Linked DNA regions of Diceros bicornis minor. The main gene of each other region encodes a partner of the protein of the gene in region 2 in a complex. Links are inferred from orthologs where the notes say so. Each region holds a gene or a part of one and is shown on either strand. Other genes may lie near its edges.

What was found.
Region 1: the proteins of ITGAM (region 2) and PTN are in contact, whole or in part, in an NMR structure (PDB 8VOH), measured with the Homo sapiens proteins. The link is inferred for Diceros bicornis minor from reciprocal best matches to the Homo sapiens genes ITGAM and PTN. Residues at the interface, in NP_000623.2 of Homo sapiens: Pro273, Asp276, Arg277, Gly279, Val280, Ile281, Arg282, Tyr283, Lys306, Pro307, Arg309, Asp310, His311, Ala334, Ile335, Glu336, Gly337, Thr338, Gln339; in NP_001308315.1 of Homo sapiens: Val56, Pro57, Thr58, Ser59, Asp61, Cys62, Gly63, Leu64, Thr66, Glu68, Thr79, Lys81, Thr82, Gln83, Arg84.

Annotation. Positions count from the first base shown.
Region 1 is NC_080742.1:85,495,581-85,503,330, forward strand, and holds the start of PTN (pleiotrophin), read right to left. Parts: upstream 4,817-7,750; 5' UTR 4,554-4,816; intron 1-4,553.
Region 2 is NC_080765.1:20,818,125-20,825,874, forward strand, and holds the start of ITGAM (integrin alpha-M), read right to left. Parts: upstream 4,233-7,750; 5' UTR 4,148-4,232; coding exon 4,120-4,147; intron 4,058-4,119; exon of another isoform or gene 3,842-4,057; intron 2,701-3,841; coding exon 2,595-2,700; intron 548-2,594; coding exon 444-547; intron 118-443; coding exon 47-117; intron 1-46.

The DNA.
Region 1 (7,750 bases), on a different chromosome or scaffold from region 2:
ACAAAGGATTTCACAAGTTAGCATCACTTACCACACACAAAGCGTTTGGAATTGTAAAACTGTGAGCCCTAGAGAAAAGAACCTTCTGTGTTGTATTTAAATATACTACGTTGTCCAGCAAAGTATTATGCATCCTGCACATATATAGCAAATATTGTTTATTACTGTTAAATTGACTTGCCATAGCAGCAAGAAACATTGTGTTGTTGAGGTAGCCCCTAGGAAAGTGTGATGAAGATAAATAATCCTGGCTCCACCCCTTCATTGAAGTTGAGAAGCTGAGAGGAGAATGAAGTCAACATTTACTGCAGTGATGAAAGGGTAAGCTGATCCTCGCCAGGTTCTGAGTCAAAAAGAAAAAAAATCTAGTTGAGTCTATAGAGAGTACATTGGCCCTGAAAACAAATTTGAGTGAACCAGGTCAGAAAAACGTCAAAATTTCAGCTAGCAAGGTCCAACCTTCCATGCATTCCAAGATATGGGCAACCGTTCCTCATACATATGTACATAAATGGATATATGACATCACAGATATGGGGAAGGAATTGGGCAAGACATCATGGGACCTCTTGGATGGCAAGAAACAATGGCAACTGAATCAATAAAAGGAAGAAATGAGAGCAAGAGGAGGGGGAACAGGTGAGTGTAAAATTTGGAAGAAGTGGGAACAAAAAGTTAGAGATACAGCACGCTATTTGTGTTTTAAAATGATGTGTTGATTTTTGCTAAGCACAATTCTTAGAATCAAGAGCCTGTGTCAGTTACTAGGACTCACTTCTTTTAAGATTAATATACAGCAAGAGATTTTTTTTTTTCACTGAGCATGAAGTTTAAGAATCTAGAATTCTTTTAGGAAACTCACTATGAGGATCTTTTTTATTTAAAATGAAACTTTATCTAAATCTACTGTGAAGAAATGGCTCCAAAATAAAGCCCAGTAGAAGAAATTAAAATTTATTTCTCAAAATATCTATCTCAGGCATGAACTATTCACTGTATTCCTTCTTTGCCTACCCTTAAGCCTAACCTTAAGAAATAGGGATTTGTGGTGAATGTGATCTACATAATCAAATCCATAATATTACCATAATTATAATGCCCTCTGATAATGTTACATTATAGCTACACTTTTAAACCACAGAAATTTTAACTTCTTATTTACCAAATACTAAAATAGGGAGGAACAAGAGGCTTGTTATATTGGATAATCTAGAAAGACCGTACGACACTGTGAAAACTATGCCACATAGATGACTGGCATGAAGTGCGTGGAAAAATGGCCCAGTGGATGGAAACTTGAATTGGCCACAAACAGCAAGAATGGAGAACAACTTTCCGAAGTGAGGCCATGGCCCATATTTCACTCAAGCCAATTGACTCTGGATGAAAAAAAGCAGACTCAGCTCCTAAAAACAAGGTCCGTATCAGAATATTATTTTACCTCAGGGCGATGACATGGCCTTGTGCCAAGAGGAGACAAAAGTTCTTCTGATTATTCATTAGAACAGACAACATTCTTCACCCTTATAGAGAAGCCCCACTCAGCATCCAAGCAATGGAACAGGGCAGTGGGAGAGCCCTGACGCAGCCTGATGCCCCAGAGGAAACCACACCGTCAACGGGGCTGAGGCACACCCAGGTGTAGAAGGTGTTTGTTCTCTGATCACCCTGGGTGGTCTCAATTTGGACACTACCTTCAGGAGGGAAGTCAAGAACAACTTCCCTCATCACTGTGCCGCCATGTTAAAAAGCATGTCTTGGGGCCAGCCTGGGGGCATATTGGTTGAGTTAGCACACTCCACTTCGGCGGCCCAGGGTTCACAGGTTAGGATCCTGGGCGCGGACCTATGCACCACTCATCAAGCCATGCTGCGTTGGTGTCCCATATACAAAATAGAAGATTGGCACAAGATGCTAGCTCAGGGACGATCTTCCTCAAGCGAAAAGAGGAAGATTGTCAACAGATGTTAGCTCAGAGCCAGTCTTTCTTACCAAAAAAAAAGGAAAAGAAAAGAAAAACAAAGCATAAGTCTTTGGAGAACTGGAATTTATATTCTGAATTCTGACTTCTGGCCTTCCATCTACCGTTAACTTACTACACCATTCTGAACAAGCAACTAAACTCGGTCTCTTGTGAAAATTTTGAATAGTAATAAAAACACCACATGGCAAATAGGAATATGATCAGAATTCATGTGAGAATGTCATTTAAATGAGAAAGCAACAGTTATCTTCAAAGGGAAAATAAAACATTTAAATTTAAAATATTTGATTTCTAAGATTGATTTTATTTATAAAAACAATTAAACTATTTGGGGACCTTATTTCTCTCAGGTTATTTCCAATGATCAGGCTTTGTGAAAATTTAAACAGGCCATTGGCTTTATTGGAGTAAACAAAAAAAAAATGCCCATTAAAAAAAAAATGTAGGCCCTCCTACATGTTGCTATACCAAGTAAAGTACATGGAAACTTTCAACAAATTAGTAAATTTATCATTCCAAATATCATGGCAACCACAGAATTACATATTATTATATATTATTATACAGTATATATACTATATTGTACTATTTATACTGTTATATACTATTATCATTCTATATAATACCTCATTTAAAAGTCAGGTAATAAAAGGTTATATATTAACAGTAGTTTCATTTCTCTCTCAGCTGTAGCTTTGAAAATATATTGTATTTTATTTTGTAAACTGTACCCACACGTGAACAACTGGAACACAGCACCTCACGCGGTTTTGTACCGCATTAGGTAGGTATTCCTTATGGAGGCCTTTCCCTAAATGAGGAGCAAAATGTCCTAAAGGGGGCCTGGGGACAGCAGGAGAGGAAGGATCCCCTTCTCAAGATTTAAAGGACAATTAGTCACTCAAAGCGCAAAAGTTTCTTAAAGCACAGGATAATGCCATTTGCATTTTTTAAAAATAAAATAATAAAAAATCTCATCCTCTAGTTTAAATGAGAAAGTACAAATACTGCCACTCTGAAATTATTCATGTCCCGAAGGGGAGAAAAAAGATAATATCCACTCTGGTTTTCTTTGAATTTAACTGGACTATAAATGTTCTTTTAATGATTTGGGCTTTAAAGTACGTAATTTACTTAAAAAGGAGCATAATGAAGATGGAAAATACAAGCTTTATTTTCTCTGCTTTTGTTTCACTCCCATTACTTTGTAATATTTGCACATATTAATTCATCCCCAGATGATCAAGGGGCTAAAATGGGCTCTACTGTTTCATCAATTCCACATTTTCCTGGGATCATGAAATTGCTTCATTCTGTTATTAGTTCCAAGGCTCTTCTTGGCAGGTCCTGAATCTCCTCCCAGGCCCTTCCCTCCAATACACACACACACACACACACACACACACACACACACACACACACAGATGCACACTCACACACGTCACCCTTCCAAGCTGCTAAAGCAAAATGCCTACTAAGATGAAAGATGCTAAAAGACTGGAACTTTGTCCGCCACACTTTTCATTCTCCCCTTTCATCACCACCCCTCCCCGCCACATGCCACTCCTATTTTTTCAATGCATCCCCAAACTTAAAAAGCAGCTGTTAACACAGATAGGGGTGAGTTAACAACAGTGTATATAAACTCAATGTGTGTTCTTGTGTTCTTGTGTATGTGTGTGTGAGTGCTGTGTTAAGGAGAAAGGTGTGTGTGTGTGTGTGTGTGTGTGTGTGTGTGTGGTAAACAGAGAGGAAGTTTATGTTCTGTGTGTCAAGTAGGGAAGGGAGTTGAATACATTCCTCGTTTTAAAAATATTTTAACTTAGAAACATCAACTCAGAAACTGAGTATCTGGCAAATAAGTAATAAATATACTCTAGCTTTATGTGGGTGAAATAAAAAGTTCAAGTGCTGGGGACAGGGCAGTTATTAAAATTAGCATTCAAATGAGAGAGGGGGTTTAAAGTGTGCCTTTTAAACTTTGGACTTTAATCATTTCTAGACCATTCTTGGGCTGGCAGGCAGCACAAGGATTGCTAGATGCTCTGTGAGAGATGCTCTATGTGTGCTGGTACTGGGAAGAACAACCCCCACATCTTACCTAGAAATGCCAGCTAAGAGTCATCAACTGGCAGGCCCTGGGGAAATCGCAGAGGCAGAGAAAGGATGGGAAATGAGCCCCGCTTGCTCAGGCTGCCTTACTTTCTCTCTCTTCTCTACCCAGCCACAGACACACCTACTAAAGCAGGTTTACAATGAGCAAACCCCCTGCACGTTCTCCAGCTGGTAGCAGGAACACTATCCAAATGCATGCATAGCATCACAAAAGCTCCTTTCCTTCCACTCATCTAAGGGCACCCGCACTACCCTGACCTGACTCCCCCAAAACACGCCTCAGTTTGCCTCTGGAGCCGATCAGCCTTGAAAGCAGCCCCACCAGCAAAGACACCAAGGCAGCCTCTCTCTCACTCCTACCATCAGCATCTGCTGGCACCCAGAAAAGTGGCAGAAGGTGAAGGGAAACTCGATTGGAGACACCTCGGAGAATCGCGCAGTCCTTTTCACTTACTTTGAGTTGCAAATGTGCTCTGGGCGCTCCGGCTGCCTTTGTTGAACGGGGCGAGGTGGTCTGCTCCAGGTACCCGAGTCGCTGCTGCTCGTTGCGCGGCGTCTGCTCTCTCCCTCCTGGACGGTGACTCACTGGTCTCTTTCTTCCTCTCTCTCCCCTCTGGATTTTCCTCTGCTCTGCGGTTCCCTTGGCGGGATTTTTGGACTGGAAGGCGGGGAATCTGATCCTGCCTTGGACTCAATTACGCCCTGACAGGGAGGGAAAGGAAGGGAAATGGAGAATGGGAGGGATGAGGGGAGCGGGCAAGGAGAGGACGCAGGCAGGGCGAGGGAGGGAGCGCGCCTTTCCCTCGCGAGCTGATTGGGAAGCTTATTAAAAGAAGAATTCTCCGGGGGCAGTCTCTCCCCACAGGAGCTAGCACACGGGTTTGAACCAAGAGGCCAGGAGATGGAACACTGTGTTGTTTTTAGCAGAGAGCGCGACATGATCTTTCTTTTCCAAACTTTATGCATGACCTGTTTTTTAGACGGGCTCATTCCCCAGTTTATCAAGTAGGACATCTTAAATGGACAATTCATGGCATTTTAGGTTACAGTGTTGACCCCAGACAATTTTTTTAAATGACATTTGGGATGAAAAAGCACAGTCTTCAAAACCAGCCTCTTTCTCCTCCCACCCCCAAATGCCCTCCCTACACACAGCTTGTTACTTCAACTGTCAGTCCCATCCCACCTGTGCCTCACAAAATGTGCAAAGTACTTTTTTGCGCTTGTCACAGAGTGACAGATGTCTGAAAGTTCCCAATTAAATGCCATTTTCCTTTAGGGGGCTCTTTCCTTTTTTGGCTTCCTTGGTGCCTTTAGTGACATGCCTTTGACACCCAAGAATTTAGGGGATTAATCAATGTAGCTCAAACTGTGGGATTTGTAAAACTTGGAGGGTGGGCTTCATGGCTTTCTGGAATTTCCATTTTGTTCAATTGAGAAAAGATGCTAAGGTAATATATCTAGGACTGTTTCAGTAATGCATAGATGAATATTTATGATATATATGAGACAAAAGTATTATGTAAAATCGTTCAGTACAAAACAAATTAACCCAAACATTCTCAAAAAGTAAATTTTGAGATTTTTCTCCACTCATCAGTTCTTTCCTGCTCCTCGTCTTGCTCCTTTTTGTTCCTTCCAGCTTATCATTTGATGAGGTCCACCCCAAATATGGTTGCAAAATTTACTTCCATTCCCTGTAGTTCTGAGGCTACATCCCTTCAATTCAACTTCATAAACATCTATTAAGTGCCTTATATAAATTTACATTTGCTTAGAACCATACTTAAATCTCGAAATTAAAAGCCTTGTTTTGTGACAAGTAGTTCTCAGGGACTTTGGGCTCTTATGTTGACTGCTACCTGGGCAAATGTCCCCTAGAAGTGAGGGCTGGGGACAAAGAGGTATCTCTACAAGTAGAGCTTTTAATCAATCAATCAATCAATCAATCAAATTTTTCAAAAGGAGAGGCATCAGAAATTCACATACACACCTCCGGTCTATCCCCATAAGCACACTCTCCATCCACATGCCACACACCAGCCTCAAGTGGAATAAATGAGTAAGGAACCAACTGTCTTCCTTCTATACACAGACTTCCGGTTGCCTGTCTCCCGCCTGTGATTCCATCGTCCCAGGGATGCAAGCAATGTTTGTATTATTCAATCTGACTTCACCTGCAGAAATTGTGGAGGAATGCACACTATCTTTTTTTATTATTATTTTTCCTAGGCCCTTTATTGAAAGAGACTTCTCAACATTCACTATTACTCCAGGGGGATAGAGTTTCCAGGCCACTAAGCAAGTGGTTGTCCATTTTCTATTTCTTCCTAAACTTTATTTTAACATCTATGAATATACCATGTTGCTCCCTGTTGTGGTGGTGCTTATCTATAGGGTTGATATAGTAAGCGTGAGATCCCCATGATTTCCACTCCATTTCATGTGTCATATCAAAAATATGACCCCTCATTCAAATAAGAATATATGAAATTATTTACATCAGTGATTCTCAACCAAGAGCAATTTTGCCCTCCAGGGGACATTTGACAATGACTGGGGACATTTTTGGTTGTCGCAGCTTGGGGGAGGTGGTTGCTAATGGCATCTAGTGGGTAGAGGCCAGGGATGCTGCTAAACATCCTCAATGCACAGGATGGCCCCCACAACAGAGAATTATTTAGCCCCAAATGTTAATAGGGCTGAGATTGAGAAACTCTGACTAACATTATTAACCATTGTATTTTAAAAATATAAAGGAAGATTAAGGAGGTTTTTTTTTTTTTTGGTGAAGAAGATTAGCCCCGAGCTAACATCCATTGCCAATCCTCCTCTTTTTGCTGAGGAAGATTGGCCCTGGGCTAACATCTGTGGCCATCTTCCTCTACTTTATATGAGACGCCCCCACAGCATGGCTTGACAAGCGATGCGTAGGTCCGGGACCAGGATCCAAACCTGTGAAACCCCTGCTGCTGAAGTGGAGTGCACGAACTTAACCACTACGCCACCAGGCTGGCCCCAAAAGAGTTTTTTTTTTTAAGAAATAGAAATCTATGAGGTTCAGATAAGTCATAATTTAACTCAACCCACCTTTACACTAAAGTTTCAGGAGAAATATTTTCTAATGCCCTCCGAAATGTTCAACTTCAAATCCAAACTTGATCTTATGGCATAGTCATGGGTCTGTTAATCCAAGATTTCAAGCCATTTCGTTCATTCCACATTCTTTGAGCACTTAAGCTTTTGAGTGAATAGAGCCATGAACAAAAGCAGATGAAAATCCCTCCTCTCATATAGCTTACAGTTTAGTTTATGTAGATAAACAAGCAACCAAAACTAATTAATTCATGACTGATTAAATTTTTAAAAGATGTGATAAGTGCCACGGGAAAAAATAAGACAATGAAAGAAGATAAAAGTGCCAATTTGGGGGAGGAAAGTGTCCCTTGGGTGAATTTTCAGTGAAGACTTAGAAGAGTTGAGGGAGCTGGCCAAGTAAACACTTAGAAGAAGAGTCTCCAGGCAAAGGGATCAGGAAATGCAAAGGTCTGAGCTCTGACCTTGCCAGAGGTGTTATGGGACGAGTAAGGAGGCCACTGTGGTGGGAACTTAGTGAGTGGAGATGGACGTCCAGCCCAGGCAGGTAACAAT
Region 2 (7,750 bases):
TCCTTCCCTCAGGACTCCTTCCCTCCCGAGACCCAGGGCAACTCACCAGCAGCCGAAAAGGGTTGGTAGCGAACGCCAAAGACAGGCCCAGGGACATGTTCACAGACTCCGGGGGGACTGAGGACAGATATATACATGGTCACCCTCAGGGGGCTGAAAGGGACTATGTAAGAGCTGGACAGGGGTCACCGTGACCTGGGAGACACGGAGGTCTGACAGGTCAAGGGGGCACCTAGGTCGTGGGGAAGGAACATGGAGGGGGTGTCTGAGGGTGTCTGAGGTAGAGTCTGCATATAGCACAGAGGCTGGGGAGCTGGACCCCTGGGCCCCCCACCACAGACCCCCTTGAACAGACCTCCAGAACAGAGGGAATGCCTGTGGAGTCCAGGTGTACGCACAGGTGGAACCCAAGCCCTGGGTCCCAGGGAGGGGCAGCGACTCACCCTGCAGGCGGATGGGCTCACACCTGCCCGTGCTGTAGTCACACTGGTAGAGGCCACCTGTTTGGTTGGCAGCCTTTATCTCCTGGGGGGCTCCAACCACCACCCTGGGGGGAGAGGTGGGAACAGATCACCACTGGGACAAAAGACAACTCTAACTTGTCGGGAGAGAAGACCATGGAAGTTCTGCCCACCCAGAAGAAAGTGGGGGAGCCAACCCTTACAAGATTCTCCAATTCCCAGAAATAGGAGGAAGACTCAGCAAAGAAAAAAATGTGAAAATTCTAAATCATGGAGGGGGAAGGGCCTCTCTAAGAATGATACAAAACCCAGACGTCATTAAAAAGTGAATAAATTCAACCACACAGTCATTTTAAATAAATTTCTGCATGGGATCAACTATCCTAAGTAAAGTCAAAAGTCAAAGAGTCAAGTGGGGGGAGGGAGATGAGCACCTCGTACCCCAGCCCCTTTCCTCCATGTAGTCAGAGCTCCCACAAACCAATAACAAAAACAAAACAATAACCCAACAGAAAAATGGGCAACAGATAAGAAAAAAGTGTTCACAGAAAAGGAAATACATCTCTCATTTTTTTGTGTGTGTGTAAGGAAGATTGGCCCTGGGCTAACATCCGTGTCCATCGTCCTCTACTTTATATGGGACGCCGCCACAGCATGGCTTTATGATAAGCGGTGCATCAGTCCGCACCCGGGATCCAAACCTTGTGAACCCCGGGACACCGAAGCAGAGCACATGAACTTAACCGCTATGCCAACTGGCCGGCCCTGTCTCTCATTTTTGAAAAGTGCAATTTAAAACAAAATTGAGGGGCCAACCCCCTGGCTTAGCGGTTAAGTGCGCGTGCTCCGCTACTGGCGGCCCGGGTTCGGATCCCGGGCGCGCACCAACGCATCGCTTCTCTGGCCATGCTGAGGCCGCGTCCCACATACAGCAACTAGAAGGATGCGCATCTATGACATACAACTATCTACTGGGGCTTTGGGGGGGAAAAATAAATAAATAAAATCTTAAAAAAAAAAAAAGGAGGAAGATTGGCAATAGACGTTAGCTCAGAGCTGGTCTTCCTCAGCAAAAAGAGGAAGATTGGCATGGATGTTAGCTCAGGGTTGATCTTCCTCACAAAAAAATAAATAAATAATAATAAAATAAAACAAAATTGAGATACCATTTCTCACCTATTCAGTTTGCAAAGATCAATAAGTTTGATAACACATTGGGTAGGCAAATGGGTGCAGAAGTAGGTGTGTCCATTTCTGGTATAAGTGTAAATTGTTGCCACCTCTATAAAGAGTAATCTGGAAAAATCTATTAAAATCACATATGCATTTGTACCCTTTGATCCAGCAATCCTAGTTCTAGGAATTTACTTCCAAATATCCTTGCACATAAGAAAAAAGACAGCACTGTTTGTTTAGCAAAAGTTTGGAAACAACCTAATGTCCATTAAGAAGAGATTTAAATGTAATAGAAACGTAAATTATGGTACCTCCAAACAACAGAATATGATCCAAGCATCAAAAAGAATGAGTAAGCTCTTTATAAGCTTATCTGGTAAAATCACCGAGCTCTATTAAGAAAAAAAAATGCAAAAGACAGTGTAGAGCAGAGGCCAGCAAACATTTTCTGGAAAGGTAATATTATTTCCGTAAAGGCTTTGCAGGCTGTGTAGTCTCTGCCGCAGCCTCTGGATTCTGCCATTTTGGCTCCAAAGCCGCCATAAATGATAAATGACGATGGCGGGGGCGGGAGGTGCGGGGAGGTCAATAAAATGCATTATAAAAATAGGCAGCCGGCGGTGGTTTGAGTATAATGCGTGCTACAAATTGTGTGCAGGATGGGGTCAGGGGAATGCGGAGGGGTATATAGCGGAGAATCTCTTGGGAAGAACACACAAGACACCAGGTACCAGACCCCCGCCCCCCACCCCGGGGAGGGAACTGTGGGGAGGGGCGTGCGGAGGACACTTTGTACTATTACACTCTTTTGTATCTTTTGAACCCTATAACTGTATTACCTATTCAAAAAATAAATCAAGAAAAAGACAAATCAAGGAAATTGCGACTTTTTTTTTCCAGAAATACAAGTTTTGGAGGAAGAGCGGATGAGACCCGGCTCTCCACCTGAGCCCTTACCGGGATCCCTCTAGCTGGACCACGGTCTGCCCGAAGCCCCTTGCGTTCTCTTGGAAGATCATTGCGTTTTCAGTGTCCAGGTTGAACCCATGACATAAGGCCAAGGCTGAGGGAGAACAAGGGAGTGAGGGTCAGGTGGAGATAAGGAGATGGTTAAGAAAGCAGCTTGGGCCCGGCCGTGGCTTAGCAGATAAGTGCGGGCGCTCTGCTACTGGCGGCCCCCATTCGGATCCCGGGTGCAGACAGAGGCACCGCTTGTCCGGCCATGCTGAGGCCGAGTCCCACACACAGCAACTAGAAGGATGTGCAACTATGACATACGACTATCTACTGGGGCTTTGGGGGGAAAAAAAAGGAGGAGGATTGGCAATAGATGTTAGCTCAGAGCCGGTCTTCCTCAGCAAAAAGAGGAGGATTAGCATGGATGCTAGCTCAGGGCTGATCTTCCTCACAAAAAAAAAAAAAAGAAAAAGCAGCTTGCCCTCCTGTGCCTGCATCTTCCTGCCAGGATTCACCCTAACCCAGCACCGAGATGTCTGCCTCCCAGGTCCAGCTCTGATAGCCTGGGGCAGAGGTCAGCATGCTTTTTCCATAGAGGGCCAGATAGTAAATATTTTAGGCTTTATGGGCCAAGAGGCAAATAGAGTATATTACGTGCAGGCACTTATATAACAAAAGAGAAAATGCACCTCCACAAATTTTTCATTAAGAAAATTCAAAATATAATAATTGTGTATAATTTTTTTGTAATACAAATTTACTAAGGAGACAAATGGACTTCTTTGGGGAAGATAACATTTCACATCATTGGGATTCAAAGTTAGTGTTCCCTATCATGAATCAATTATAAACGCTCATCTACGACCTCTGGCTCACATAGGTCAAACAGGTGGTGGAATCCTTGCCTTAGCCCAAGGCCGGTATGCTAACCTCTAGCCTAAGGACCACCATCGTGGGGTGCATTCAGCCCCTCTCTGAGCTCCACCCTGTGTTCTTACTTTGCTGATTTGTCCGACAATCAAGTTCCCAAAGACTCTCAGTTAGGCAATTTCCATCCTATGCAACTCGCAAGCATTTCTTTCCCCTCTTTGGCTCATTCACCACAAAACACAGGCATAAAAGGATTTTGATCAGTCAGTCATTCAACAAACATTTACACCTGGGTCCTTGGAAAATAGAACTGGAGGCAAAGTGGAGGTGGTGAGGTGGAATCCAAGAAGAAACACCCTGAGAAGAGAATCTAGTACCTGCTGAGCACCCTTGGGCATGTCATTTCACCTCTCTGGGCCTCAGTTTCCTCACCTGCAAAGTAAAAGGGCTAGCCGAACCCCCCTTGTCATTCGTCCGAGCTTCTCTGGTCATCCCACCTTGGTCAGGCTCTACTCTCTGCTTCCTCTTGAATCTCTTGTCCTTCCCCAAATCCCCTAGTCTAAATCCTAGATATTCTGCACCCTTTCTCTGCAATCACAGACTCCAAAGTTCCCCTTCTCCTCACCCTGAGGGCCCGCCCAGAGCCCTGGCGCACCTGTTAACAGAAGGACTCTGTGAGTCATGGCTGGAGGGAGCAGAACCAGGAGGCTGCACACACCACAGAGCCACTTGAAGGAAGCCACCAAAGCCAAAAAGGCCAGAAAAAGAGAAGTAGGAGGCAGAAGTCTGTAAGCAACCCAAAGGAAGAGGGCGGGGGCTCAGTGAGCACACAGCCCTGCTTGACCTTCCTCTTGGGGCTACACGAGCCTGTGCTCCCTCCCTACCCAGCTTCCTGCCCAAACCATCAAGGTCACTATCCCAAAGGTGTTCTTTGTTTGCCCACCTGCTGCTAGGTTGGCCAAAGCACTATGAAAGGCAAGCCGAATAGACGGAGGGCCTGCCTCCTGGAAGGTGTGTTCTAAACATCAATACAAATCAAGCAAGTGTGGGAGGTCACAGCCTGTGTGCCCCTGAAAGTGTACTTTGCAAAATGTCCTTCCCTCCTGCCCAGGGAAACAGGAGCACCCTTTAGCCAGACCTGGCCTCCTTCGTAGCGGTCAATAAGGACAACTCAGGTACAGAGAAACCTGGTGCTTTTTGAGTATTGTTTTGCTTTTTAAAAAAAAAAAAGCCTCAAACCCTTCACCCAGGAATTCTCACTTCCAAGAATTTATCCTAAGTAATAGCTGAGTACAAAGATGTATGTACGAGATTGTTCATTGCGGCATTGTTTTCAATGGTGAAAAACTAGAACAGCCTGAATATCCAACAGAGGAATGGTTGAGTGATGTCCACTCTGGGATACATCCTTATATTCCATCGTGTCTAGTCACTTCTAAACCTGTTTTCAAAGACACGGAGCACACTTTCATGAAATATAGAGAACACCAAACCGTACCTTGAGTGGGACTGCTAATGCGATCCCCAAGCCAATGATTTTTTCACTCTATCTCCAACACATTTTCTCTTGCTCCTAGTTCTACTTTCTTAATAACCAGAGCAAATAAATGTTTGCTCTCTGAAAAAATTCCATAAAAATTCTGCACATTTTATTTTAAAATGACCTGTTTAAACATATGCGTGGGTAGGAAAACCAAAATGTTAATAGTGGTTATCTCCGGATGATAGGATTATGGGTGTGTTCCAGTCATCTATGGCCTCACAGCCAACCGCTCCAAATCTTAGTGACTTAAAACAGCAACTATTATTGTCTCATGGTCCTGTGGGTTGTCCAGCCTCAGCAGTACTCACTGGGGGATCTCATTTGGTTGCAGTCAGATCGTGACTGGGGATGGACTCACCCAAGGCCCAGTTGGGCTGGACTTTCAAAATGGATCACTCACATGGCAGGCAGTTGACGCTGGCTGCAGGCAGGGAGCTCGGTTGGGGCTGTCAACTGGAGTAGCTACCTGTGGCCTCTCTATGTGACCTGGGCTTCTCACATCAGCGTGGTTAGATATCAAGAGGAAGTGTTCCCAGAGACAAGAATTGAGAGTTTCCAGTCTCTTAAGGTTTTGATCTGGAAACTGTCACAGAGTCACTTCCACCATATTCTCTTGGTCCAGCAGTGGCAGAGCTTGTCCATATTCAAGGAGAGGGGACATAGATCCTACCTCTCAATGGGAGGTGTGTCAAAGAATTTGTGGTCAACTTGAAGCTGCCACAGGACGATTTTAATTTTCTTCTATATATTTTTTGTATTTAAAACTTTTATACAAAAAATTTGAATGACTTTTATAATCAGAAAGAAAAGAAAAACACCAATAAATAGCTTAAAACAACAAAGTGCCTACACTTGACAGCAAAAAAAAAGGGCTGAGGAAAGAGGAAGAAGGCTGAGGATGAGAGGATGAAAAGATACCATCGGGGTGTGGGGGAGTAATTTAATGGATAAGCTGGGTTGTTTTGGTAAAAGCTTTCACACTCTGACCACCACAGGAAGCAGCTAGAACTCAGATATCGGGGCCCCTCCTTGCCTCAAACAGTAGCCAAGGGCCCACTGTCTGTAAAGGCACAGGCAAAATCTCAGAATGGCTATCCAACCCACAGAGTCTTTCTCAATGATCCACCAATAGGTGTGCACCTGACCAGATGAACACAGGTGGGCACCTATCTACAGGCTTCCAGCCACTCCCTCCCATCCAGCCCCCCACCCCAATTCTTGATAAAATCTTAGCTTGGGTTCCCCTATAAATGGACCCTGAGACAAGGATTCAAGTGCAAGTAATTTACTTGGGAGGTGATTCAGGAAACACTTGTGGGGAAGCAGGGGCAGGAAGAAGCCCCTAAAAGATGTGTGATAAAACAAGGTACTGCTGTGGACAATTGGAGCTCAATACACTGAGGAACTCTGGAAGCCAGCATAGAACATGCCTCAGAGTTGTCTGCCCGAGGGGAGGGGGCGTAGATTCTTATCCACAACTCACATCAGCTATCAGTTGAGGTGTGCTCTGTGGGAAAGCCCTAATTCTCTGGTGCTCCCAACCTGCCCTGACCCAGGCAGAGAAGGCTCCAGGAGCCAGAGAGAGCCCTCATGCAAACACTTGCAGGTACTGGCAGCTATAAATCTGGCCAGCTTGCATGAGAATGTTAAACGCTGATGGGACATGAATGGGGCAACTACAGTGTCTGCTACAGATACTCAAATATTTTTTCATAGCACTTTTCATTACATGAAATTACATTATATATTTATTTAGTTTTTCTATTGTTTGGCTCCTCTACTAGAGTATATAAGCTCCATGAGAGCAGAGATTCTTGTCTGTCTTTCTCACCTGTCTATTTGCAGTGCACAAAACAGTGCCTGGTTCATAATAGAGACCCCTCCCAAAAAATTAATTGAATCAGAGAGAGAATTCTAGAAAGATGACAGAGTATTAAGGACCAGGAATCCTTCTCCCTGCCTAGACAGCAATTGTACTGGCAGAATCTGTCTGATGTAATCATTTAGGAGCTCTAAAGTCTACCCAATGATTTGTGGTTAATTTCAGTCTATTTTGGCTCTTAGCACTGGAGCAGCCACCAATCTCCCATACCCCCACAGCCCTGTGGCAAGAACCTGTGCATGCATTCACAGAGCAACCTGCATGCAGCTTGTGGTAACCAGAGTGGGCAATGAGACCCCATCCCCGAAATATCAAGGATCAGTGCTCTGATTGTTGATTGTAGCTTCTGATCTCAGAGGTTCAGACACAGAGGCAGGCAGCCATTGTTGGACCCCCTACCCATTGTGCAAGCCCCTCCACCTCTGGCTGAAGCAACTTCCAGGCGATTTAGAGGCCTGGTGCTTTTTTTGCCTCCTTCATTTTCCTCTTTTTTATCCTTTTGGGAGCCAGACATTTAAGAACCAGGACATTCAAAAGCAACCACATACACAGAAGAATTTAGAAAGTCAACATGCATGCCCTAAGAGGAACTTAAGACCTTAAGACCTTAAGCTGATCCCTGGCAGAGAGACAGCCCATAACAATAAAAATAAATAAAAAATAACAGCAAACCCTGGGGAAGGGGAAGAAGCTGATTTCCAGAGTTGCTATATTATTAGATTCAAATGTCCAGTTTTCAAGAAAAAAATCACAGGGCATAAAAAGAAACAAGAAAGTATGGTCCATTCAAAGGAAAAAAATAAACAGAAACCATTCCAGAGAAAGACCAGATAGCAGACCTACTAGACAAAGACTTTAAAA